3 linked regions of the Xenopus tropicalis genome follow. The protein of the gene in region 1 purifies or fractionates together with the protein of each later gene. This does not show direct contact. Links are inferred from orthologs where the notes say so. Each region holds a gene or a part of one and is shown on either strand. Other genes may lie near its edges.

What was found. Proteins that work in one complex are often made in the same cells at the same time.
Region 2: the proteins of lsm14a (region 1) and eif4enif1 purify together in Homo sapiens (affinity purification with mass spectrometry; 3 studies listed by BioGRID and IntAct, with this or other methods). This does not show direct contact. The link is inferred for Xenopus tropicalis from reciprocal best matches to the Homo sapiens genes LSM14A and EIF4ENIF1.
Region 3: the proteins of lsm14a (region 1) and c1qbp purify together in Homo sapiens (affinity purification with mass spectrometry; 3 studies listed by BioGRID and IntAct, with this or other methods). This does not show direct contact. The link is inferred for Xenopus tropicalis from reciprocal best matches to the Homo sapiens genes LSM14A and C1QBP.

The regions. Positions count from the first base shown.
Region 1 is NC_030680.2:67,701,848-67,705,347, forward strand, and holds part of lsm14a (protein LSM14 homolog A), read right to left. Parts: intron 667-3,500; coding exon 503-666; intron 1-502. UniProt on the Homo sapiens protein: Essential for formation of P-bodies, cytoplasmic structures that provide storage sites for translationally inactive mRNAs and protect them from degradation. Acts as a repressor of mRNA translation. May play a role in mitotic spindle assembly.
Region 2 is NC_030677.2:152,096,251-152,099,750, forward strand, and holds part of eif4enif1 (eukaryotic translation initiation factor 4E transporter), read right to left. Parts: intron 1,879-3,500; coding exon 1,712-1,878; intron 723-1,711; coding exon of another isoform or gene 587-722; intron 447-586; coding exon of another isoform or gene 270-446; intron 162-269; coding exon of another isoform or gene 1-161. UniProt on the Homo sapiens protein: EIF4E-binding protein that regulates translation and stability of mRNAs in processing bodies (P-bodies). Plays a key role in P-bodies to coordinate the storage of translationally inactive mRNAs in the cytoplasm and prevent their degradation.
Region 3 is NC_030678.2:105,094,770-105,098,046, forward strand, and holds the end of c1qbp (complement component 1 Q subcomponent-binding protein, mitochondrial), read right to left. Parts: intron 3,145-3,277; coding exon 3,049-3,144; intron 1,806-3,048; coding exon 1,680-1,805; intron 1,008-1,679; coding exon 861-1,007; 3' UTR 501-860; downstream 1-500.

The DNA.
Region 1 (3,500 bases):
CATGTGCAGTATGAAGCAAGGAGGGAAAGGAAGGGAGAATACCTTTTTAGAGATGGCTGCCTGTTCTAGAAAATGTGAAGTAAGTGTGACTGAGTAAATATTTCATTAGGTGAGCCAAAAGTGTGGCGTTTTTACTAAATAGGAGGACTATTGGGCAGTATGCTTTTTAAATTTTGACTTGCATTCTCCTTTAAGAGAGGAAAAAACAACAGAAGTTAAAAAGCAGAATTCAAGCCACTTATTCCTCTAGAAAACAAAAAAATTACATACTGAGCCAATTTTGTACCTTTTCACATTTGTAGTAGAAGGCATTTTTAAAATATCTTTATAAGTCACAGGTATACTTTTATAACACCAGAGGGCTCATATACATAAAATGTTCAATACTTCAAGTATCTACTTTAAAACAAATTATTAGAAGGCTTAACAATAATAAAATTGAGATATAATAAAATACACTCTTATAGTTCTCCATCTTTTAACATTGGGGTTAACCAGATACCTGGACAATAGCAGGATCCTGAGGCAAGGAACACTGAGGTTTGGGTGGCTCACAGACTGTAAGGTCTTTAATATCACTTCCTCTGAAAATAATATATTCAAATACTTCATCCCGGGGAGGTATAGGTCGGTCAGTTGGCCGGTCCTCTGTCCCAAATGATCGAACTAGAACAAAAAATAAAAAAAAAACAGGAATCGTCTTTGAGTTGTTAAAAGTACAAGTACAATGCAGTACTACCGAAAACCATATCTTGTTTTATAAGAATTAACATTCATCTTCTACAAAACTTGCAGAAGTAGCTATGGATATGTGTTGAAGTTTTGTTGAACTTTTGTAGAAGATGAATGTGGAAGGCATTCCATATCTGTATTTATTTATGGGTCTACAGTAGCCATGGATAGTTTAATGATCTAATGAAAAATGGCTTTCCCTCTTAACTTCCACAGAGGGTAAAGTTTATGATGTGTGGCAGGTTTACAATCTATGGCACCTCCAGCCCCTAGACAACCAGCAGAGCAGAAAGAGACAAAGGCTCTTCTCCAGTGTTGTACAACTTCTGTGGTACCGAGGGCTCAGAATGGAAGCCAGTTTTGACCACCCACTTCAAACTACACCCATGTAGTCACAAGAGCTTTTAAGACCATACCCGTATTAATGGTAGTAGCGCAGCAAAAACTTGAATGGTTGGTGCTATGTGAAACAAGTTTATTATGTCTTATTAAAAGGGGACCTGTCACCCACACATAAAAAAAGCTACATAATAAAAGTCCTTTAAAAATTAAACATGCAACCAAAGTTCTTTTTTTAATTAAATCACCCATACCGGTTATAAATGTATTTAAAAGTCTGACCTGTCAATCATATATTGCCTGCCCCAGGCAATATATGATTGACAGCTCAGATTTTTAATTACTATTGCTTTAACTTTCCATTCAGCCCTTCCTCGATATCACCTAGATGGCAAATGTAGAGATTTTGGGGTGACACAAAGCTTTGCCTTAAAATGGCGCCAGCCTGCTGGCTGTGATTGTAAATTCCAGGACTGAAGGGGAAAAAAAATAATGTATAAAGTTTATTTTATTCAACTAACATGATAGAAAAGGATTTGGAACTATTTCTTAATTATAATTAATTCTTATTGGAGGCAAAACAATTGTATTGGGTTTAATTATGCTTAAATAATTTAATATACAAAGTATAGAGATCCAAATTACGTAAAGATTCCTTATCCAGAAGACCTCAGGTCCCAAGCATTCTGGAAAACAGGTCCCATACCTGTACAACTTGAGTACCGTATATACTCGAGTATAAGCCGATCCGAATATAAGCCGAGGTACCTAATTTTACCTAAGAAAACTGGAAAAACTTATCGACTCTAGTATAAGCCTAGGGGAAATGCAGCCGCTACTGCTAAGTTGTTTTTTTTTTTTTTTTTTTACTGTCAGGCAAGTTTGGGAAGGCTAAGGAAGCTGCCATACTAAGTAATGATAGTAATGATAAGATGGAAATCCAAGCAACTGGCAAGTTTTGGTAAATATCATATATACACTGAGTGGCAGCATTATGTGCTAGAAAATATTGGCCTCTGTTCTCATAACATAGCTACAACAGTTAACTTACTCCTTGTCCTTCAGGCCCCCTGGCTCATCTGTATACTGAGACACCTTCACTGCGGTTCTGACTCCTGAGACCATTACATGGCTTAGAGGGCACAGCTTGCAAAATGCTGGGAATTATAATGGTCATTGCACCAATTTTTGTATTGCTCGGGTTCCACCCGATCCTCTGTAGCCACCTATAAAGCCCACAAGCCCCCTGGTTCATCTGTATACTGAGAGGCCGTCCAGCATAGGCCGGTGGCTTTGAAGGGGAGAGGAGGAAACCATATTTAGCCCAGTTAGGATTTATATATTTCTTACCTATAGCTGCGAGGAGAAGGGGTAACCCACGCTGTGTACACTCCCATAATGTCCTTCCAGTGCATGAAGCCGGCGAGCGCGAATGTGCGTACACACGCACGCAAATAACACAATACAATGCAGGCAGTGGGACTTGTTATACGTGCGTGTGCAGGGATTGCCATCTTCAAATCTATATTACTCGAGTATAAGCCGAGGTCGACTTTTTTAGCACATTTTTGGTGCTGAAAAACTCGGCTTATACTTGAGTATATACGGTAAGAGACTTTTACACTAACTATAAAAAAAAAAAAAACAGCTTTTGCACATGTCAAGATGAAACACCCTTCTAATCTGAATAAGATAACTTTGCAGCAACTGGAAGGATCAGCGTGTTCATAGTACTGTGTGTTATTTATATAATATATATATATATATATATATCAAACCCAGGGTGGCATTCTGCTTCAGCTCTTAGCTCGGGTGCAAGGTAAATGATTTAAAATATCCAAAAAAGACCAGCAACACCGAGTTATATTCCAAAAACAGTCAATTGTGTATTAAAAACGCATGAACAGCCAATGTTACATTTCGGTCCCCATCGGGACCTTTCTCAATATATATATGTATGCTAAAAAGCATACAGACCTGTATTACCTATATTTTTCTATTTAGGTGGATGGGAGGCAATTACAGGTTGCTGAAATGCCTATAGGCTAATGCCACACGGAGCAAATTCTCAGCTTGTGGATAAACACAAGCCAAGAATTTGCCCCTTCGCTTGAAGAATTTTAAACTTTTGCCTGCTCCCAGAAGCAGTTTCAGGCCGGGTGCAGGTTGCAGGGTCATGTACCGTATATACTCGATTATATGCCGTTCCGAATATAAGCCAAGGTACCTAATTTTACCTAAGAAAACTGGAAACATTTATTGATTCGAGTACAAGCCTAGGGTGGGAAGTGCAGCGCCTTGTGCTAAGTTTCAAAAACCAAAATAAATACCAATAAAATTAGGATCTATCAATCTCACTGAACAAATAGAGCAGAAGTAACTAAAGTCTGAACCATGAGACAATCTGTAGTGACCAGATCCCCTTGTGC
Region 2 (3,500 bases), on another chromosome or scaffold:
GTCTCCATCTTTCCGGATTTTTCTTGGACCAGCCATTGCAGTCAGAGCTTCTTCTAACTGCTCAGCCATGTATGGAGTTGCAACCTTTCCCTCCTGTTCAACTTTTAATCCTTTAAACCCAGCTTCAACTTCTTCCACAGATAAGACCACCCCGGAGTGCGCTAGAGCAGAATTTTAGAGGTTACGAAAAGGAGACTCAAAACATCCTTAAAAAAAAAAAAAAAAAAAAAAAAAAACCCCACACAAAACAGCCCGTTTTCTTAACTTACTCCTTTCTCGCAGCTTCTCCTTATTGGCAGTTAGGCTAGAGAGCAATGGTTTCAAGTCAACTTTGGCTTTGTGTAAGATTTCCAGAATGTCTACTTTGTCAGAACGCTCTTCAAACTGAATGGGGGCAAAGTAGTTTCCAGAATTTTGCCCAAGGGCAGGAATTACTTGTTCCAAGCCTGGCGGGGGGGGGGGGGGTGAATAAAAAAAAAAAAAAAAACTTTATCCCAGAGTAGTGCCTTTTCCAAAAGATGGTTAAAAACGTTAAGCATAAGCAGTTTTAGAAATATGTCTAATTCTTCTTCCCATACTAACTCACCTGCCAACCTTTCTAGCTCCTCATGGGGGGTGGACCTTAGACTGCTGGACCGACTTCCAGAGCGGCTGTGATTTGAAAACCATCTGCTAAACCTGCTTGCAGACACTGATCCTTCTCCAAGCACATCCTCTATCATCTACAAGGCAGAATATATGTTATGTCATGCATGAACAAAAAGAATAAAAAAAAAAAAAACACAACCCATGGCTGAGCTTGATTTGGGAGGGAAAAGCACTTACTTGCTATAGATGTAACTGTTCTGTGGGAACGGCATATCTGTTAACCCAAGCTGCAGGTTAAAGGCTCTGACTGAACCTACAACTTACAAACCTCTTAAAAAAAAAAAAACTGGCAGGTATGCAACACCAAATAATGTCACTATGCAAAGTCAGGGTAACATTTATCACAGGTTAGCAGTTCTTTCCACAGAGTTAAAACAAAAAGCAGAAGCAAAATTCTATCCTCTGCAATGGCACCTTGGCTCACCAAAAAGGTATCAGTCACCAGACAATGATGGAAATCCTAAAAACCACAATAATGTAAGCAAGGGGAAGAAACAAGCACCAACTTGTCACTCTAGAAGATGGTAAGAAACAAAAGCACACAACATTACAGGTAGTTTGAGGTGTATTCCATTCAGATGCAATAGAGAAGTCCTTCAATCAATGGCAGGATGTATACATTAACCCACAATACTATGCACAGAAGAGGTTTACCCAAGTAAAAAACTTCTACACAACACAGAAACTAAGTCTCCATATAAGCAGGGCCACTCAAACAAAAAACATTCATGTTTTAGTCAATTTAAAATAAAAATAAAAAAAAAAAAGCGCCAAGAAAATGACATGTTCTAATCAAATACATACAGGTGGGCTAAACAGCAGCTATTAAGTGAGATATCAGGCCAGGTAAACACACTTCACCCCTCATGCACACCAGTGTGAGCATACCAAAGTGTGAAAGGACCAAACAAACATGCATAATTACAAGCCCAGGAAACATATCAAGTCTTGCTGCATGACTGTCAATTTGAAGTTACAATATGAAAATCTTTCCCCTCTAGATCTAGCAAGTTGGGCAAGATGTGGTGATGCTTCCATGGGCTAAAGTGCTTCCAGGACTTACCGAAGCCAGTCCTGGCACACTCTTATCCAGATTGAAAAATTCATTGAAGTCAAATTCCCCTGGGGCTGGTTCTGGTAATACAGCTTCCTCAGGCACTTCCTGGTCTGCTGCATGCTCAGGCGGAAGAGCTACCTCTTCTTCCAAAACTCCTCCATTGCATTCAATTACTTTGAGAGAACAGAACATTTACTTTTATTTTATGTATGACTGCACATACAGCTTTGTAAAAGTACATTTGACAGCTGCACTGCATTCATTTTTTGCCAAAAAGAAAAACTAGTAATGGCATTTTTAGAAACTGTTAAAGAATGCCTAACACATAACTATATATATCACACATACAATCCTGCCAATTAGTAAATTTAACAGTATATGTATTTAATACGGACTGTTTTCACAATTTTTCTTCTAAATTTTTAAGAAATGTTTAGTGCAGCAACCTGACGCACACAAAGCTCTAGCATACTATGACAGCCTTAGATGTGGAAAACTGTTGGCAAGTATCTTGGCATCAGCTGAATATCTACAGATTAAAATTTTACTGGCAAAGGAAAGTAGTAACAGAACCCATCTGAGAAAAGTTATGGGTAATAAAAAAGACACAATGGTAAAGTTTTATATTTAAATAACCTAAAACATTTTGGATTTAAAGAGCAGAGTACCAGATATGTTGTGGAACTGACCTCTGAACATGTTTGGAATTAAAAAAAAAAAAAAAAAAAAAAAAAAACTAGAACACCAATGTGTGTGGCTACAGCACACTTAGCTACTTGTCCTTCAAAAAAATGTTTTTTTTAACACATGTGGCACTATGGGCAAAGTATAGTTAAATGTATTGTTATGATTTTTATGGTGTACTTTTTATTTCTAAATAACAGTGGTAGCATGATTTATTTGCTATGTAAACAGTTAGTTGCAATATTGCTGTGTAGACAGCCATCTCAATGCTCTGTGCTGAGCTGTCAGAAGGAGCCAGCGCTACACATTAGAACTGCTTTCAGGTAACTTATTGTTTCTTCTGCTCAGTGTAACTGGAGGAGTCCCAAGTGATAAGATATCAGACTAGCACTCAAGGGCTCTGGTACACGGGGAGATTAGTCGCCCGCGGCAAAACTCCCTGCTCGCGGGCGACTAATCTCCCCGTGTACCAGAGCCCTAATAGTAGAGAAAAAAAACCCAACACTTAGCAATACAGGTAGCAGCTATATTGCAAGCTTCCCATTGTTCTGCTGATCGGCTGCAGGGAGGGGGGTGATATCACACCAACTTGCAGCTCAGCAGTAAATTCTGATTGAAGTTTATCATAGTACATGTCACATGGCTGTGGCACACTGGAAAAAGAAGAATATGCATAGCCCTATGTGAAATTTCAAAATGAAATATGTTTGTATTTATATAAAAAAAAAAAAAAACCAACAACAACGCCAACACAAAACTTCGCCAATAAAATCCTGCATGGAAATCCTTTAAACTTGTGTTACCGTATTCCTTTTTGAATCCATGCCAAATAATTAAGCAGAAAATAAGGCCAGTCATAAGCTGAAGCTAAAGATTACATTTTTCATGTTATATGGCAGCTCTGAAACAAGTGCAATTAACATCTGAATTACTAAAAATCCTTTTATCACCACATTTAAATTCTATATTTACGGTATATTGTGAGTTGTTCCCTAAGCTCAATAACCGACAGCAGCACAGAGCATGTACAGTGAATCAGCAGAAAAGAAAATAGGGAGCTACTGGGGCATCTCTGTAGGCACAGATCTTCCCTGCTAAACAGCTGAGGTCT
Region 3 (3,277 bases), on another chromosome or scaffold:
GTTAAAATCACGATATGCCAAAAATTTGGAGTAACCACAATAATTTCTGATGTTCGAAAATGTCACGAAAATCGTTTATTGGTCGTACGAAAATATTGTGGTTGTGTTCTGAAAGTCACAATTTTTGGATCTGAACATTCGTAAACGGCGCAAAAACCTTTCTGGCTTTGAAACCTTCAATGTATGATTTTGGAAGCCTTCCATGGCACTCTACAGATCAAACCTGGCCAAAAGATAGCCACGATACCAAAGCTTGAATGAATTCTGAAATGGTTGTATTCTTTGCGAAAAATACGACTTTCTGTGGAAGTTAACGAAAACCACAAAAAAGTTGTGGAATTTTAATGAAATTATCGTGGACATAACGAAAAGTTCTATAAGTTGGAAAAAGATAAAAAATTTTCTAAAAAAAACTGAAGGTGTTTTTAGGTCTATGCTGTCCCTTTACGTATGAAAATGGTGTAGGCATATAAGGAAACAATACACAGAAATAAACTTAATTAAGTTTTAAGAAGTTAGATCTGTTTCTGAAATATATTTATTAAAAAATAATAGATGAAGCCTTACATAAGCAAAAAAACAAAAGGGTTGTCTAAACATAAGTGGGTTTAAGCAAATCTTGTTACATCAATAGACACCATTTTTGTTATGGATGATTTTGTTTTCTACATACTTTGACATTTGTTATAGAATGTAAAAAACAAAAAAAAAAACCTCTTGCCTTTTCACAATTTTAAATCTGTCCGATTTTACAACACATCCCACAGATTTAAAATGTCCATTATGCAAGATGACATGCAACAAGATCCTCCTCTGGCCGCAACCTTTAGAACAGAAGGTGATTGCTTCTCAATGTCTTCTTAGCATTTAACAAAGTCTTTAAGGTTTTCTAGAAACTTGATGTATTCCTGGTGCTCCAAAGCAGTGCTTAGTTCCACTAGCTCATCAGCAAAAGTATTATCCACTCCACGGTCAGCCAAAAAATCCATTAAGTGATCATAAAGGGCCTACAAAAGATTCAAACACCAGTAGTTAATATACAAAGTTATCACAACGTCTTTACCTGATATTTAAGCAGGGACACTGGTGCAATTATGACCAAGTCAGTAACCAATCATCAGAACAGTCTACTTAACATACAATATTTTAAACCAACAAATGGTTGCTAAACTGAGGCCAATTTAGAAGATATTACTGATGCATGGGGCAGGTTGCAGGACAAACTTAAGGTCCCTTCCTGCTCATGACATCACCATCTATACCTCAGCCTCTCCAGTGATATTACCACTACAAAGCCCTCCGCTTTAATATCAGACTAGCTTCAAGACAGTCTAAAGACCTCTAGACAGTACAAGATCCTGCAAAGGGCTATGGCACACAGGACAATTTGTGATTTAAGCAGCCAAAAAACCTATCGACTTCTATGCGAATCACTTGCAAGACAACTTTCCCATGTTTTCAGACAACTAATAAGTTAAGTACATAAGTAAAGCCTGTTGTTAGAGATTCACACAGAAGTCATTGGGTGCTTTTGCAGTTTATGTGGCCTACTAAAAAAAAACAAAAAAACATGGTTTTCAAGTACCCAAATCTGCCTTTGGTGCCATACCCACCAGGTGGGTTGGTCATGGATTTTGACATGAAAATGTAAAATGTTGGTTTAAAAAAGCTATACCAACCCAGTCAAGTGAATCAGTGTTAAGTGTATAGCTGTTCTCCTTCCATTCTGTATCTCCTGTGGGCTGAAAGCTAACCTCCCGAATAGTAAAAATGTCACTTTCTTCCTCTTCTTCCCCATGTCCAACCTTAATTTTGAACAAGAAAAAAAAACAACTTTATTTAACCACACATTTGTTTTGTAAAGAGGTTTATAAATAAAGTCATAGTCAGGAAAAAAGTAACAAGCATTCCTTGAGAAGCAATACTGAAAAATTGTGGAAGGAAGGCAGGATTTTTAAACTTTGCATAAACAGAAGGAAAGGTTTGTAGTCTGCAGGATCTTCATTCCCATGAGCATGCATACCCAAACTAGGGTACCAGAAAGAGTGCTATCAATTCTTTTAGAACCCTTAAAAGAGAACTATAGCCAAATGAAAGAAGTAGGCCTAGAGGGGCCCTTTTTGCAGATGTAAAATAAATAAATCACATTTTGACACAGTTCAAATTATTGGTGTGCTTCTGGATTTCTAATAAGGTTTTGGGCTTCTGTACCAGCCCAAGGCAAAAACAGTCCCTCAGCCCTCCAAAAGGTGCCCCCAGTAACTCCCCATTTTCTTTTTTGCTGATTAACAACACATGCTCTGTGCTGCTATCAGTTACTTAGGGCTTAGGGACAGACACACAATATACAATATATGGCAGCTCTGAAACCACTGCAATTAGCATTAGAATTTAATAATCAGACCTTTAGCATTAGCTTATATGACAGGCCAACCTCATTTTCTGCTTGATAATTTGGCTTAGCTTCTCAACAGCTGCTCAGAGCACACTGGTGTGATAAACTAGTGTTTATCAGCCCTGTTGCATCTCCCTCTATGATAGACCAACATAATTTTCAGCTTGATAATTTGGTACAACCCCTAAGCTTAGCTTCTCAACAGCTGCCCAGAGCACACCAAGCATGTGAGTGTCTTTCCCAGATGGGGAGCTCCTGTGACACGTTTAAAGTCCTGGATCATTGCTGCTATAGAGATGCTGGTCCAAGAAGTTCAGTATATAAAATATTGCGCAACTGTAAAGTGCTGGCTTGATAAAGGGCCCAGTGAGGCCCAAAAAATTGCCTTGCTTGATGTCTACTTATGAGCTAATTAATATATATATATATATATATATATATATATTATATATATATATATTTTTTTTTTTTTTTTTATTTTTTTTTTTTTTTTTTTTTAACAGATGTTTCAGATCCAAATATGTCAGCTGCACAGGCAGTCCTAATGCTAACTCACATTGACATTAGAATGGTTGCAGACTTAACTGTACATACATATAAAAGGATAACAGATAAATGCAAAACAAAACATTTTATATTTTAGTTGTGTGTACCTCATCCTCTGGATAGTGACAGTCAAGAACCAGGGTGTGGTTGGTATCCAGTTTTGTAACTTCTACAACAAAATTGGGTGTAGACACAAGCTCAGGCTGTAAAATGAAAAAAAAAGTTTTAATGTCAAATATATATGCTACACAAATGTAATTCAGAGACCAAAAAACTGAAGTTGCCATTGAATTTGATCTAAAACATATTATACTGATCAGAGATTTTTTTTGCTGA